Arabidopsis thaliana: one gene and its partner. The protein of the gene in region 2 interacts with the protein of the main gene of each other region in a pairwise test. Each region holds a gene or a part of one and is shown on either strand. Other genes may lie near its edges.

The links. Proteins that work in one complex are often made in the same cells at the same time.
Region 1: the proteins of MPK10 (region 2) and MYB11 interact in binary tests that used the Arabidopsis thaliana proteins (3 or more experiments, as listed by UniProt).

Annotation. Positions count from the first base shown.
Region 1 is NC_003074.8:23,151,005-23,159,303, reverse strand, and holds MYB11 (myb domain protein 11), read right to left. Parts: upstream 4,675-8,299; 5' UTR 4,547-4,674; coding exon 4,414-4,546; intron 3,998-4,413; coding exon 3,868-3,997; coding exon of another isoform or gene 3,864-3,867; intron 3,702-3,863; coding exon 2,933-3,701; 3' UTR 2,719-2,932; downstream 1-2,718. Other genes in the region: AT3G62615 (uncharacterized protein), read left to right, coding at 3,450-3,482, 3,864-3,944; ATERDJ3B (DNAJ heat shock family protein), read left to right, coding at 5,958-6,028, 6,104-6,252, 6,348-6,483, 6,824-6,935, 7,191-7,307, 7,394-7,480, 7,620-7,679, 7,766-7,843 and 2 more. UniProt on the Arabidopsis thaliana protein: Modulates overall growth by reducing the proliferation activity of meristematic cells and delaying development. Flavonol-specific transcription activator involved in the regulation of several genes of flavonoid biosynthesis.
Region 2 is NC_003074.8:22,086,609-22,094,903, forward strand, and holds MPK10 (MAP kinase 10), read left to right. Parts: upstream 1-5,791; 5' UTR 5,792-5,839; coding exon 5,840-6,063; intron 6,064-6,335; coding exon 6,336-6,465; intron 6,466-6,555; coding exon 6,556-6,693; intron 6,694-6,776; coding exon 6,777-7,109; intron 7,110-7,201; coding exon 7,202-7,382; intron 7,383-7,456; coding exon 7,457-7,632; 3' UTR 7,633-7,795; downstream 7,796-8,295. Other genes in the region: AT3G59780 (Rhodanese/Cell cycle control phosphatase superfamily protein), read left to right, coding at 298-342, 506-1,513, 1,610-1,710, 1,810-1,924, 2,076-2,153, 2,321-2,413, 2,525-2,608, 2,702-2,800 and 5 more; AT3G59800 (stress response protein), read right to left, coding at 7,989-8,177, 8,271-8,295.

The DNA of each region.
Region 1 (8,299 bases), 1.1 Mb from region 2:
AATTTTGTATTACAATTGTTTTTCTTTCTTCTACTATAGTACCATGTCGGCATATGAAATGCGTCCGATAGTTTGCGGTTAATTCGTAGAAATGGTCCATCGGTCCCATGAACTTAATAAGATTTTATTCTATGTAAATAAGTATTGAAGTATCATTTAGTCACCCGGTAAAAAAAGGGGAAATAAATAAGAGAGACAAAAGTGCATGGCATCACGTGAGGCATTACAAAAGTGACAATGACAATGGACCAAATCGTACTTCTAAGCGAAAGATAGCGACCCTCGTTATGTGTTTTTGTTTCTTCCTCAATTACTATTTACTAAAACGTCTACTCTACGCTTAGGAACAATATCATCCTTTTAAAAGAAACGAGAGAGTCTGAATTAGTCGTATAAGTTGTGGCAACTGGCAAGGCTCCTATTAAGCTTTTAGAGCATCTCCAATGGAGAGAGCTCATGGAGAGGTTTTCTCAATTTTTTTTGATTAAATTTCAACAAAAATTACAAGAGAACTTTTGCTTATTTTTTTTTTAGTTTTTCATATTCCAATGACAGATTCTCTCTAATGGGGTTCTCTGAAAAAAACTATTCTTTTAAAATTATTTTATTTACTAAAACTTAATAATTATTGCAAATCATAAAATATTAAATATACATTGTTTTCATTTTTCAAACATTTTAAAATAGATTTGAAAAAAGAACAAAAATTTAAGTGTTTTTTGGTTCTTTAAACTTGTGGTTATGTATTTTGGTTCTTAAACTTATGGTTAAAGTGTTTTGCTTCTTAAACTTGTAGATAAAGTTTTGAAAATTTGTGATTATGTGTTTAAGTGTTATGGTTAAAATTTGGTTACAACAAATATATAGCAAAGAGTTCGAACATAAAAGAACATTTGAGTGTATGAACATAAAACTTCCATCACAATAACGTGAAGAGAACTCTAAATCATTAGTTGTTTATCAAGAAACAAAGCTTAATACACACGATTTAAGGTTCACTCTTAGAGGAATTTCATCAAACACGTACTAGACATCAATTCTATTTTACAATTCCACTCAAATAGAAACTTTATTAAAAGCCAAACCTAAGCTAACCTCAATGCAATGAACCAAATCCCATTTCTTGTTCAAAGTGTCAATCCAACCATGATCAAGAACCATAGAGTTACCATAAGTAATCTCAGTTACCTCGGCATCAAAACAGAGACTGCATCGGAAATGACCATTTGTCTGAATGATTCATTGGTTGACGGAGCAAGCATAAACAAATAGTTACCATAGCCTGCATTTTAGAGGGCTCAAATGAGACTAGTATGGCTTCACATTTACTCCATAGATAAGTTAAAGGAAAAAAAACAGAGTGATCAGTAAAAGGAAAACAGACCCGTGGACTTGAAAATTCCTTTGGGGTCGACCTCTGTCATAGCTCGAGCAGAGGCTTCAGCCCCATCTAGAACTTCCGATAATGTTCACCTTTACAACAACATTCATCTTGTTACCCTTTATACTTCCTCTGTGAACCTAAGAAAGCAAATAAATGATATTGTCTTAGTATAAACATAACCAGAGTTTGACAATGTTGCTACAATTCCACGTCAAGAGATAATAATTCTACGGCAAGAGTAGCTAATTCTAGAAAGCATTATGACCAGATTATCTTCCTCAATTACAACATAAATATACAGCTTCATTATGGGTCCATCACCAAGACCTTCTGCTTTACAAGCTCCTAAATACTCTAACTCAATCATGTTTACTTAATTGTTAAGTTTCCACCATAATCTATAATACCTGAGCAATAGAAGCATAACCAAGAGGCTTTTCATCAAATTTTCAAAGTTGAATCGCATCAAACGGCGTCGCAGGAGCTTGATCACACGAAATTACAAGCTTTTAAAACCACGAAGCTCGAACCCAGAATTGAAAAGAGTGTTGCCATAGACGAAAGCTATCGGAGATCTTTTCCTGAATATCTTTGAAATCGAAACCCACGCATTTTTATTTTCTTTTGGTGAACAAATTGGTTTCAGTTTGTGTATCTTGATTTCAGTTTCAAAGAAAAGATATCAAATGCGAAAAGTTTTCAGAAGAAACGATGATTGGGCTTTGCATCTTTTGGTCAATTTCGTTTGGGCAGAGAGGAGAAAGAAGATAGAACAGAACGCGCACACATTTATTTTTTTGTTGAAATTGAAAACCCAATCACATGTTGCCACATCGACGGTTCTCTCAAATTCTCAAAACTCTCTCCAGAAAGCCGACTCTCTTGATTTTTATCAGTTTTAATTTATTTTTATTGTCATTAAACAAGAGAGCCCAACAATTTTTTGATTACATCCTCTCGTTGGAGATGGTCTTATAGCTTTTAATCAAAATTCAAAACGTTCATTAATTACCACTTTACCAGTGAACATTTACACACAAAAAAGAGTTGTGGTTGGCGACATGCTTTGAAATTTGCTCGGGTTTTGGTCTATTATTAGTCTATCAGAGAAACTTGTTTCTTTGAAATACTTCCACCTAGAATGCAACTAGCAAGTGTTGGACTATGTACCAATAGTGAGAATTGCTGATTCACAATATGGAACTGAATTTTATTTATATTTTTTTTGTATTTTAAATTTCTTATTATATTTGTATACATATATACGAAAGTCGAAAGATTACTTAAGTTGGCTATCAATGGTGTAATCATCAATGGATCGCTTATATGTAATTGAACTAAGAAGATCGACTTTATTTTGTTTATTTGCCACCGCCAAAATCGTATTTACACATGAAAAGAAATAAAAAAGAATATAAATACATTTAAAACTAAAAAACGAACGCTAGGGGACAAACATGTTCTATTGACAAACCGACCAGATCCTGCCACGTGGGGTCTTTGCTAAAATCTAACGGAGAAAAAGGCATATGCATGGTGTCAAATCTTTCAAGACAAAAGCCAAGCAGCCATCTTGTTTTCTTCGTCAATATCCAACGGTTCTCCAAAGTCGTTGGAGTCCCTTTGTCTGATCTCAGATTCCATTTCCTCTCCATCTAACAGCCTCGACAAAACCGAATCAAGATCCTCTTTTTCGTCCCAAAGGGTTTGACCTTCTCTCCATACAAAGTCCCAGTCAACGAAATCATCAGCCATCGTTTCGATATTTTTGTGCCCAACTGACATCCCTCCATATGGCTCAGAGTTTTTTACGTTGTTCGACTCACATGAGGACACGTGGACAGCATGAGAGTCGTCCAATAGAAAACAAGAATCGAAAATGTCGTCATTGAGACACAAAGCTCCATCGTCGCCATTAATGCTTGGGTTACAATCGCCATCGTCTCCATAACCACATGGTCCTAAACCGGGTTCCTCTGCTCCACTTAAGCTACTACTTGACAACACCATTAATGCGTCTTCTTTGTCTCCCTCTCCATTCTCTATTGTCGTAGTTGGCAAAACGATGTCACTTTTGTTTGCTTTAAAAGAATTAGGGGTTTTGTGGTTTTTAGGGTTTAGGATAAATTTGGGTTTCATGGCGGATCTGCTGGTTCTTCCAGGTCTACGCTTAGGAGGCGGAGGCGCATTCTCGACGGTATTGGCGACAGTTGGTTTTCTGAAGTAACCGTGGAGTTTACGGCTGAGATGAGAATTCCAATAGTTTTTTATTTCGTTGTCTGTTCTTCCCGGTAGATTGCTCGCAATTGTTGACCACCTGCAATTTAATTAGCGTTGACGCTATTCTTATTTTTTGTTGTAAAAACGTTTTTTTTCACGACGTTACACAGCAACAGTTTGATTTATGATTTCACGTGATAGTGTACTTTTTCTATTGGAAATATATCGACATTAATAAACTTTTGTTCAAATGAAAAAGTTACCTGGTTCCCAAAGTGGAATGCAGTTTAACAATGACGTCCTCTTCTTCGGGAGTTATGTTTCCTCTCTTGATGTCTGATCTCAAATAGTTTATCCATCTCAATCTACAGCTCTTTCCACATCTCTTTAGCCCTTTTTAAAATGTACGTCAGATTTTAATTAAGGCATAATAATGCCTGCAGCGATTACTCATCTTTTCCTAAATATTGAAATAAATTATCGTTTTATTTGTGATGTTACAGTCCATATATACATGTAAATAAAACAAGAAGGCAATTTGGTCTGAATTATCAATAAACACTTTATGTACTTTAAAATATTATGCATTCCTTATAGAAACTGATACATTAAATAGAAAAAAAAAAAATCAAGTCTCTATTTTAATTTTTTTTACAACTCATGGTGTATAATTGAACCGTACGTAAGATTAATTAACTTCTCGATGCATATAGATTCTCTTATAAATTTTGACCAAACAAAAAAACTATCTTATGAGATGCATGCGATAGTCGAGAGACAGAGTACTGTATAGATAAAAAAAACTTTACCGGCATTTTTGGGAAGAGAACGCCATGATCCTTCGCCGTTGGACTGAATGTAGTCGGAGAGAGTCCGGTCTTCCTCCGCCGTCCAGCGCCCCTTCTTAATTCCTACCTTCTCACAGCACGGCGCCCTTCCCATTCTCTCGGCCGGCGATTATTAAAAATCACTCACTTCACTTGTTCCTAAAGTCAATCACTAGAGAAAGAGATTATTTAAAGAGAAGTAAAGTGACGACACAACAAAAAGTGATTGGTTTAGTATTAAATATTTATAGGAGTGACATGCAAGAATAGAGAGGAGTGGGTTATATATTCAGGTGATAGAACGAGCCACGTTTGTCTATGTTGAAACAAAAGTCGTAGGCGCTCATCATAGGTCGAGAGCTACTAACCAGCTGTCCAGCTGGGTCGTCCTAGTGTCTCTAATTAGATGCTAACTATAGTTTTTAAATACTAGTTATACATTTTTTTTTTTTTTAAATACTAGTTATACATTTATTATTTCTGACTTGTTTCTAATCATACTGCTCAATTCGGATTCAGTTAATCATCTAACAATTAATAAAATCATAAGCGTAATACTTTCTCAATATTTTACTTCGTATCGTGGAAAATATGTAAACACCAATTTTATTTAGTTTACTATTGTCAGCAACGTTTCTTTATTTTTCAATGGACAGTAAAATGGTATTAGTGGGGGATCGGGACCACTCGTGTGAGATGTCTAGTTATTATTGTATGTCTAGTAAATAATGTTTCGTCGAAGATGCGAAGAATCAAGAGACCTGACATATGACATGATTGTCCAAACCAGTCTATGTTTCTTTGCATGTAATTAATAAGCAACAAAATATGTATTTATTACTTAACCACCTTTTTTTGTTTTATACTCCAGTAGTGTTTAACCAATGCACAACGTAATGTGTGACTAAGATAGTCTAGATTATATAAAGATTAAAGAAATAAATTTTCTCATAGCAGCGGTTTTGTCATTATATTAACAAGTTTAATATGGTAGGTACAAAATCCATAATGCATAAATATGCAAAACTAGTTTGGATCTGGCCTCCCCAGATCGGTTTACATAAAACAATCTCGATTTTGTATGGGCCCAGTAACCTAGGGTTTTTAATCGGGTTAGGCCACATTTATTGAATAACAATCGTAGGGGAGTTACAGGCCCGCTTCATTATTAATGCGCCTTGTATAGATTATATGAGTATAACGACGTCGTACTCATTAAAGTCGACGAAAAGAACAGTCAGCGATTCGACGTTGGTTTATCCACGTGGCTAATATTTATTGGTTACGATCGTCAGAGACTTAATCCTGATTGGTTAAGCATTGCAGTGTACACGTAACCCGACCACGAGGCTCGAGTTTTGGAATCGTTTCCACGAAAACAAGTAGAGAGAGTGATTCGAGTTTTCCAATCATAAAAATCAGCGAAGAAGATCTTCGTTCTTGTTCATTCTGTGAGGTTTCATTGTTAAAATCGAAACGAATCTCAGGTTGGAGTAATCCTTGGGAGAGATCCGATTTCCGTTTCCATGGCGATTCGGTGGTCGGAGCTGTGTATCGTACTGTTCGCTCTTTCCTACGCCATCTGCGTCCTTGCCGGGTAAGAACATCTTTCGATTCCTTCAGAAATGTGTGGAAAATGTGAATGCTTAGAAAATCTGTGTTGTGGATTTAGGAAGAGTTACTACGATGTGTTGCAAGTCCCGAAAGGTGCATCTGATGAACAGATCAAGAGAGCTTATAGGAAACTAGCTTTGAAGTATCATCCCGATAAGAATCAAGGAAATGAGGAAGCGACTCGCAAATTCGCTGAGATCAACAATGGTATTTTCGTTTTGCAACTTGTGTGATTCTGCTCTCTTTGTTAACTCACCCGTTTTTAGTTTTGAGAATTGACGTATTGGTGTTTGATGTAATAGCTTATGAAGTGTTATCGGATGAGGAGAAGAGGGAGATATATAACAAGTATGGTGAAGAGGGACTTAAACAGTTTTCTGCAAATGGAGGAAGAGGAGGAGGAGGAGGCGGCATGAATATGCAGGACATCTTCAGCTCGTAAGTTTTCTGCAAATGGTAACTCTTTAGGATCCAACTAGAGGTACAAGATACAGGGTCACTAGGATCTGTCTGATCTTCTATCCTGTTGAACCCATCTTAACATAGAATTCGTGTGAGTTTTATTTATTGATAGTGGATACAATTGAATTTGGTAATGTTAAGGGACTTTACTCTGTAGCGTGAATAGTTCCTAAATTTGGATAACGTTTTACATTTGTGTTTAAAGAAGGGACTTTACTCTGTAGCGTGAATAGTTCCTAAATTTGGATAATGTTTTACATTTGTGTTTAAAGGGTGCAGATTGCTAATTTGCAGAGATTATTGATGTGTTTAATAGGTTTTTTGGTGGAGGTTCGATGGAGGAAGAAGAGAAGGTTGTCAAGGGGGATGACGTAATTGTGGAACTTGAGGCAACTCTAGAAGATTTGTACATGGGAGGCTCTATGAAGGTATGTTAAGCTCCGTGTCAGGATGTTATTGTCATCACTAATACATGTTACTCATCTGGGAAATGTTACTTTGATCCAAATGTACTAGAATCAATAGAAATTTGTAAACTAGATTTCATAGTGTCATTCAGACATTCTTTAGGTTCAGTTCAGGCGATGTTTTGGTTAGAGTAGACAGTTTTTTTTTTTACATTAATGCAAATAAAAGAAATTGCATTAAGTTCTCAGTGAGAATGTTCCACATTGAACTATCAGGTATGGAGGGAAAAGAATGTGATAAAACCAGCTCCTGGAAAGAGAAAGTGTAACTGCAGGAACGAGGTCTATCACAGACAAATTGGTCCTGGAATGTTCCAACAGATGACAGAGCAGGTAAAGGACGGATATGTTCAATTGTCACAGATGGTCTTGTTCCAACCTAATTACTGTTTAACGACGTATCCTCTTCTTCCCCTCAGGTCTGTGACAAATGCCCTAATGTCAAATACGAACGGGAGGGATACTTTGTGACAGTTGATATCGAGAAAGGAATGAAAGATGGAGAAGTAAGTATCGAACTTCTACTACCCTCATTGTAAAATCAATCGAAACTACGTTTCATAGTAGCTCTTTAATTCATTTTGATTTATTTATGAGCTTATCGATTTTTCCGATCTTAGTTTCTAAATACCAAATACTTTTCAGGAAGTGTCTTTCTATGAAGACGGCGAACCCATTCTTGACGGTGACCCTGGTGACCTTAAGGTTAGCCTCTTCCCTAAATTTCACTATCCTTGACTTCACTAAACATCAAAATCAGAGAGAATAAACCATTGTTGTACATTTCGCAGTTCCGAATCAGAACTGCACCACATGCCCGTTTCAGAAGGGATGGCAACGATCTACACATGAACGTGAACATTACACTGGTAAATAAATTCAACAAACTACTCTTATATCAGTATCTCTACATCATAGACCAACAATTGATTCATTTTTCTGATTCCACCAAATCTCTTTTCTTCAGGTTGAGGCGCTAGTTGGTTTTGAGAAATCATTCAAACACTTGGATGATCACGAAGTTGACATCAGTTCCAAGGTAACACTAATATCTTTCCCCATACACGCAAAACACTTGAAACAATGACCATCAATTATCATCTTATGGGTTAAATATTGTGTGGCGACAACAGGGAATTACAAAGCCGAAGGAAGTAAAGAAGTTCAAAGGAGAAGGGATGCCACTTCACTACAGCACAAAGAAAGGCAACCTCTTTGTCACTTTTGAGGTTTTGTTTCCGTCTTCTCTCACTGACGATCAGAAGAAGAAGATTAAAGAAGTCTTTGCTTAGTGCTCTTCTCTCGCTTTCGCTCTCTCTCTCTTT
Region 2 (8,295 bases):
AAGGTTCCAAACATGCTCAGACTCAGTAATTGAATAATGGGTATTCTTGTTGCAGGTTTCAGACGACACCCATTATTGTAAATCTGCTGCTGGAGTCTTTTTTGTCTGAATCTTCTTCTTGTTGAGACACTGTTTCTTCTTGGTCTGTGATTTTTGTTTTGTTCTCATTAGGACGTTCTTTATTCCGGTTCAGATTTACTGGATCGTCATTTTCTCTTTGAAATTGTATTTTTTTGTTCCTTTTCTGGTATGTTGTGAAAGCTATGAGATTGCTGTAAGAATCCAAGACTGACCAACATGTTTCCCCTGTGCTCGGCCACAAGCTGCCGTTACCATTCTCAGGTTAGATTTTCTTTATAGAAGTGAAAGTAAATAAGCTAACTGGTAGCAAATTTATTGAAGTCATCCAATTTGAGCTATGGGTGTTACGCTTTGTTAGTGCTTTGGGTTTTTGGATTCATTTTCATAGATAAGTAAGTACCTCATAACGGGTTTGTTTCTGCAGATTTTATTTCCTGGCAATTGGCGAGGCTGTTCTTCCTTCAGGAGAGAGTTGATTCACAGATACAGTTCAGGTGACAATGCCTTCTTTGGTATCTCTAATGGAACACGCCTGCAGAAGAGTTTCGTACCTCAAGCCACTGGGAGTTTCTTGACCGGTACTATCGAAAAAACAGAACAACCAGTATCAACATTCGGAAGTTTGTGCCAGAATGAGTTGGACAGAATAAACTACATGGTTTATAACATGAGTGAAGCTTTTGTAGCGAGTGATGAGGGACTGACATATGTAGAAAATGGAGAAGATGTGTTCCCTGTTGAAGCTGTTGCAGCAGATGTTTCTCCTGTTGAAGCTGTTGTACCAGATGTTTCCCCCATTGAATGCCTTTCTGCTGAGACTTTAACCGATAAGACCAGTAGCCTTATAGACTCTGTTGAATCGGGAACCAATGCGACTGTTAAAATATCTCCGGATAGTTCAGTCTCACTTCCTGATGCGAAAGCTAGCTTTGATGACTTTTCTTCTGGGCTCAAGCAGTCCTTCAGCTCTTCACTTCCTGATGCGAAAGCTAGCGTTGATGACTTTTCTTCTGGGGTCAAGGAGTCCTTCAGCTCTTCACTTAACCAAGGAGAAAATGCTGTAAAGAACACTTTGGAGTCCTTCTCCTCGTCTGTGACATCCATTACAAAGAATGCTTCTGAAGTTGTAGATAGTGCAGTTAACAGAGCGTTTTCTACGCTAGACCAAACGGGAGATGTAGCTGGAGACAAGTTTTCGAGTTTTTCTACTGGCTTGAAGGAAGCTTCAAACAGAGCAGCTGTTATTGCCATTGATCTGCTGAGGCAATCAGTTAGTCTTGGAGAGAGATCTGTAACAAATGGAGTTTCTTTTGTTGTGTACTCTTATGGATCAGCAAAAGAATTACTTCCTCCAGATGTAAAGAGTGCCCTTAACTCGTCAGAAGATGTTGCTCTAAAAGTATTGAGTCCCGTGGGAGCTGTATTGCAGCAGGTGCTTTGTCTTATATACTGAAGGTTCATTCATATTTTCGTAGAAGAAAATTAATTCTTTATGGACTACAGTTGCTAACAGTATCATGATGAACAGGTATCTGTTGCCATTGGAGGTTTGGAGAGAAATATCGGTTTGGATCCAGATGACCCAATCCTTCACCTTTTTCTCTTCGTAGGCACCACAGGAACCTTTTGGTACACGGCTTTTCTTACCCTAGAAGGATATTAAACTTGCTTTTCTTGAGAGGACAATGTAGTATAGAAGAATTTATATTTTCCACCAGATATTTGCAGGGTTCTATATCGGGTTTGGACATATGGTGGATATGCTGGAGATTTGTCTCCCAAGTCAACTCTGGACCTTTTAAAATCAAGAGACAAGTCAGTGCTCATAGATGTCAGGCCTGAAGTAAGACGCTCTTAAGTTTCTAACAAGTTCCCATTTCATGATATATAACTTTTCAAAACCCACCACAATTTGATTATTTCTTTCACATAATGTTCATCAAGGAGTTTGGGTTGAAATAAAAATGCTCATTTTGGCTACTGTCTTTTTGAAGGCCTTGAGAGAGAAAGATGGAATACCTGATCTGCGGAGATCAGCTCGATTTCGATATTCTAGCGTGACACTGCCTGAGGTTGGTTTTAGCATCCTCATTGTTGTTGACCACAGCGAATATAGAAACTCTACACATGTAATCTATGAACACAACGAGGTTTCAGCAATCAGTGCAACAGAAGTAGGATATCAGACTTTTCTTTATTCACATTTTTTATGGGTTCTTGTTCTTGATTCATGTTTAAGGTTGACGGTGATGTCAAACGGCTACTGAAAGGTGGAAGTGAAGTAGATGATATCTTGACAGCAGTAATCATCAAGAACTTGAAAATAGTTCAGGTGTGCTACCTTCATGCTTCTTTTGTAACTTACTATGGTTTTGTGGCTCGAGCTGTTTCAGTTTCTAAGTATGCTGACATCTCATAATTTTGCTTACTCTCCCACTAATAGGACAGGTCCAAGGTTGTTGTTATGGATGCTGATGGAACTCGTTCAAAGGGTATTGCAAGAGCCCTGAGAAAAGTTGGGATTAAGGCAAGTCATTCAGGCATAATTCACTTTGAACACAATAAGTTACCTTTAAACATTTTCGAATAAGCTCTTCTTTGGTTGCCTATGATGTGACAGAGGCCATACTTGATGCAAGGTGGGTATAGATCATGGGTACAGGAAGGTCTTCGTGTGAAAGAGCCAAAACCTGAGACAACACTTACCATCCTCAACGAGGTAATACCATATGAATACAAATATGTTTGGACTGTTTCTTCAGCTAGATGAAATTGAAACTGCTCTCAAATCTTTTCATCAGTAAGTTAAACATATCTTAAATGCTTTTCAGGAAGCTGAGGCGATTTTTGAGGACATAAATCCCTCTCCATTGCAACTATTTGGAGTTGGTGTGGTATGCTTCTAGTTCTATTTTTCTATTTCCGTTTAATAATAATCCCATCCTGACTAATATAAGAAGATATATGCAGGGTTTTTTCGCAGCATTGTATGCTTTGTCTGGTGCGTTTAATTCTTTCTCATTTCCCCTTTAGAATATCTCATATTCTCCACAACACACAAGCTCCTCACATCCACGTTTTGCACTAACATGATTGCTCTATCTCTCGCAGAGTGGGAGAAAACACTGCAACTCATAGCTGTCATCGGCCTTAGTCTGGTATATACTAGCCTTTCCAGTTTCTAAGTTTTGTCAAATTATAGTTGCTTTGTTTTGTTTTTCAAGTTTCAAACATTATGCAGACTATATACCTACGACTTTCTTCATATGATGACTCCGAAGACTTCAAACAAGACGTCAGGTATAAAAGCGCCATCATTAGACCCTTTTTCCATAGCAAAAACTCAGCGAAACCTCTGTTCTGTCTTAACAAAGATTGTTTCATCTTCTTCTTCAAGGCTGTTGCTTGCACCTGTGAAACTCGGAGCTCAGGCTTTCTCGTGGGCTGCAGGAAAACTAGAAACAAATGGTGTTGGCCTCCCAACTTCGCCTTCTTCTTCAGATGTTCGAAGCCGGGTTTTGCAAGCTGCTGCTAAGCATGAATCGAAACCCTCTGATGAAACTTCTGAAAGTCTCCAAGATGCATCATCGTCACCAGAAGAAGCTTTGAACAACGTTGATGTCTCCGAAGCGTAAAGACTCTGAAAATTGTTTTCTATTTTTCTTATAATTGCCAAGAATTACTTTTGTTCGTCTCTTGGAACCGTTAACATCGGCAACAGAAAAAGTGTAATAAAAAAAAACTGTTTTCTTTTCGTTCGGATGCTGAGATTTGTTTTGCAAATTTAGAACTAGCTAAATTGGGTCAAAAGTTATAGGTTACACGTAAAATTATTACAGCAATTTCTCCCCTAATAACTTTGGGCTTTAGGCCCAATAACAGAAGGCCTTAAAGTGGCATACTTAGGGTTTAGTGAAAAAGCAATCGTCATCCTTGACTCAGGGGTCAGGTCAAATCCAGGAGAAGAAGAGGTAATCATTCTACACAGATAGAAACATTTATTTTTTGTTTAATCAAAAGCTAACATTTTGTTGTGACAGTTCTCGTGTTTTCTTAATATAGATGGCAAGACTGATAATCGTGCCAGAATCCGTCTTATTAATCAAGACAAGAACAAATACAACACTCCAAAGTATCGGTTTGTTGTTAGATTTGTATCCTTTTAATTAGTTCATCACATTCCCAGTTGTTAGTGGTGTCTGTTTACATTCTTCCTATCGAGTTTTGTTTGGCCTTGAATGTGAGGAAAGCTAACTTGATTGACCGTATTCGTACACTTCACTCAGCTGCTGAAGCCATATCAATGAAGTTGACGACGAGTGAAAACGTTTCTTCTCTTTAAAAAACTGTATTTCCATCTAGTTTTGATCTTACTTTCGTGGCTTTGAATTTTTACTTTTCATATAGCATCGTTATATTACTCTTTACCTAATTTCCCTACTGTACTTGTGAATTTTCCCGTCGACGTATGTGCAAGTTACTAATTTTATGCAAGTTGTGAATTTGCAAGCGTTTTAATTTCTAAACGAAAGAATACTAATCAGAAACTTAGAAAATTTGACAAGATTAACTAAACATTGTATATGTCTATCGACCACTACTACATTATTTCAATGTGTAAGCATATTTTTTATCATTTAAAATGAAAAACAGAATGGACAATGATAAATCAACGAACGACATTAGCAGAAGTGTGTGGTGTTTCTATTTATCAGCACAAATAGAAAACAATGATAAAATACAGAAGTGGTGATGCAGTGGATTTATCATTTGATTGCTGGACTGTCATTTTTGTTATTAAATCTTATGAACTTTATTTTTTTCTTATAAATATATTATATATAACACATTTAACTAAATTAGATCTCATAAATTTGTTGTAGATTTTTTTTTTTTTTTTGCTATTCCCAGCAATCTACTTAAAAACGAATCCCATCATCACCCAAACATGCTAAGTGTAGCAGAAGGGATAATATTTTGTAGGTAAGGAAACAAATATTTTATTAACCTGTAAATAAAAAATGAAAACCAATTATACACATATTTAAAAACTACCAAACTTAGTATAGTATTATTTTTTTTAAAAAAAATTATAATAACAAAATAATAATAATAATAAATGGTAAGACTTATTTTGAATTATGTTTATTAATAATATTTTTGAGGTTTCTTTGTAAGTGATGGTGATTACATAGAAACTTCATATCAAATATCTATATATTTTAAAATTTCAAGTAAATTGATTTTTCAAAAAATATTATTCTATACTAAATTTAAAGTATATGAAAATACAGAAAATTGTTTACAAAAATGAACACAAATTAGGAAATGAATATGAAGAGTATGTATCCAAATTGTATTGCCATGTTTGCATTTAATTTAAGAGGGTGTATGAAAAGCAAAAAATCTTCTTCTAACAACTTACCTAAAATCATCTCACTTATACACTTCCATAAATTAATTAGTTTTTTTGTATTCATTAGCTGGAAATATATTAAGATTATTTAGTTTTTTTTTTTCCATATGGAAAAGGAAATTCACAGCAGAATTCCTATAAGTTAAAAAAACTTACCTTAAAACTATCAAAATATATCAAAACTCATATCTCCTGGGTCCTCCTGGACCTGGACTTAAACATCCATACTTACACATATCCACTCTATATAAGTTTAGTTCACTACCACTAAACCCAACCAAAGCAAAAACATCACTTCTCTCAACAGAATAGTTTGAGGTTGTGTGAGACAAAAAGAAAACCATGGAGCCAACTAACGATGCTGAGACATTGGAAACTCAAGGAGAGGTTACAACCGCTATTTGGCCGTCATCTCAAATCCTCAAGACGACTATCGATATTCCGGGGACTCTCAGCCATGACGGCAGATACATCCAGTACAATCTATTTGGGCATATCTTTGAACTCCCCGCAAAGTATAAGCCACCGATTAGGCCTATTGGCAGAGGTGCTTGTGGCATCGTTTGGTAATATCCTTTTAACAGAATTAATAGTTTCATTTCTTTTCCTAATCATTTTGAGCACTTTAGAATGTAGATGCCATGACCATTTTTGTGTGTAATTTATGGTTTGGGTTGATAAGTTTCATCTTTTTATGAGAAAAGTTCAAATCGTTTCTATCATAGAGATCTCTAAACAGTTATTATACCATTCATGACTTTTATGTTATTCTTGTTACTTTTAAAATTTCCTCACTTGACACATTAGTTTTTACTTTTCTTTTTAACTTTTTTTACAGTTCGGCTGTGGACTCCGAGACCAATGAGAAGGTAGCAATAAAGAAAATAACGCAAGTATTTGATAACACTATCGAAGCAAAGAGAACTCTTCGTGAAATCAAGCTTCTTCGTCACTTCGATCATGAGAATGTTCGTTTGATTTTATAACTATTGTCTCACCTTTTTTCTTTTATTTTGTTATTCATTAAAAGCTAACTATGTAATATCATTTTTCTATAGATTGTTGCAATCAGAGACGTAATCTTGCCTCCTCAGAGAGATTCATTCGAAGATGTTTACATTGTGAATGAATTGATGGAGTTTGACCTTTATCGAACCTTAAAATCAGATCAAGAACTAACCAAAGATCATGGCATGGTGTGTGTTTAGAGTTATTGTTTCTTGAAACTTAAAAATCATTTTGATTAGTGAGCTTGACACAATCTTCAAATTTTTGGCAGTATTTCATGTACCAAATCCTGCGCGGATTAAAGTACATTCATTCAGCCAATGTGCTACACAGAGATCTAAAACCAAGCAATCTCCTCTTGAGTACACAATGTGACTTAAAGATTTGTGATTTCGGGCTCGCTCGTGCAACTCCTGAGAGTAATTTAATGACTGAGTATGTTGTCACAAGATGGTACCGTGCACCTGAGCTTCTGTTGGGCTCTTCTGACTATACCGCAGCAATAGATGTTTGGTCTGTTGGCTGTATTTTCATGGAAATAATGAACCGTGAACCGCTCTTCCCGGGGAAAGATCAAGTTAATCAGCTTCGTTTGCTTCTGGAGGTAGTAAAGTAAAACCCTTTGTTGTGCCAAGATCATATTCGTTTTTTGTGATTCATGATTAGCTTAAAAAGTCTTGGGACATTGTTTTGCAGCTCATTGGCACTCCATCTGAAGAAGAGCTTGGATCGTTGAGTGAATACGCTAAGCGATACATAAGGCAGCTTCCTACGCTTCCTCGCCAATCTTTCACTGAGAAATTCCCGAACGTGCCTCCCTTAGCAATAGACTTGGTGGAGAAGATGCTAACATTTGATCCTAAACAGAGAATCTCAGGTCAGTTTCTGTCTCCATATAGCCTCTTCTGCAGTTTTATTTGGATTCTTATCATCAGTTTTGCCACTTTGCAGTTAAAGAAGCACTTGCTCATCCATACCTTAGCTCGTTTCACGACATTACCGATGAACCAGAGTGCTCAGAGCCCTTCAATTTCGATTTAGATGAACATCCATTCTCTGAGGAGCAGTTTAGAGAGTTAATCTACTGTGAAGCCCTAGCTTTCAACCCTGAAACCAGCAATGATTGAAAAGGACCATATCTTTGATCCTTGTTCTGTTTTTTTCTTTTCCTTCTCTGCTTTTCTTTGAATAATTTCCCTTTTCATTTCCTTTAATTTTTTCATCTCTCAGAAATTTTGTTGTGCTAAGATTTTCTGCTAGATTCCCTTTTGATGTTGTCAAATTTCATTTTTAAGCAAATAAACTGAAAAACCATGATTCTGTGGGCATCATTGCGACTTTCAATCCAACAAATATTAATACATGAGCTATTGTCAAAAATATAACATTGCAACAAGGAAGAAAGCAATCATATCCTACTTTGAGTATTTTGATTGAAGACAATCTTACTCTTTGTAATAGTTCATTTGCAGTTTTGCTTTTGTCAATTCTTCAAATTGCCAAAGAATCTAGAGAGTGGTACAGGGCCATCGGTTTCGTGTTTACTTTTGCTAGAGTGTTTGTCTCTGCTGGACTTGTGCTTCTTCTCCTTCTTTGATCTTTTCGAACTTGATCTTGATCTTCTAGATTCATCTTCATCACTGCTAGATGACGACTCTGAGGACGAATAATGCTGCAAATTCATAACACAACCGATCATGGTTCATGTTAGCATAAGCTAGAAAACCTCACACTATCTGATATAAGCTAAACTTTTAGAAGGCACCTTTCTCTTTTTGCTTTTCTTCTTC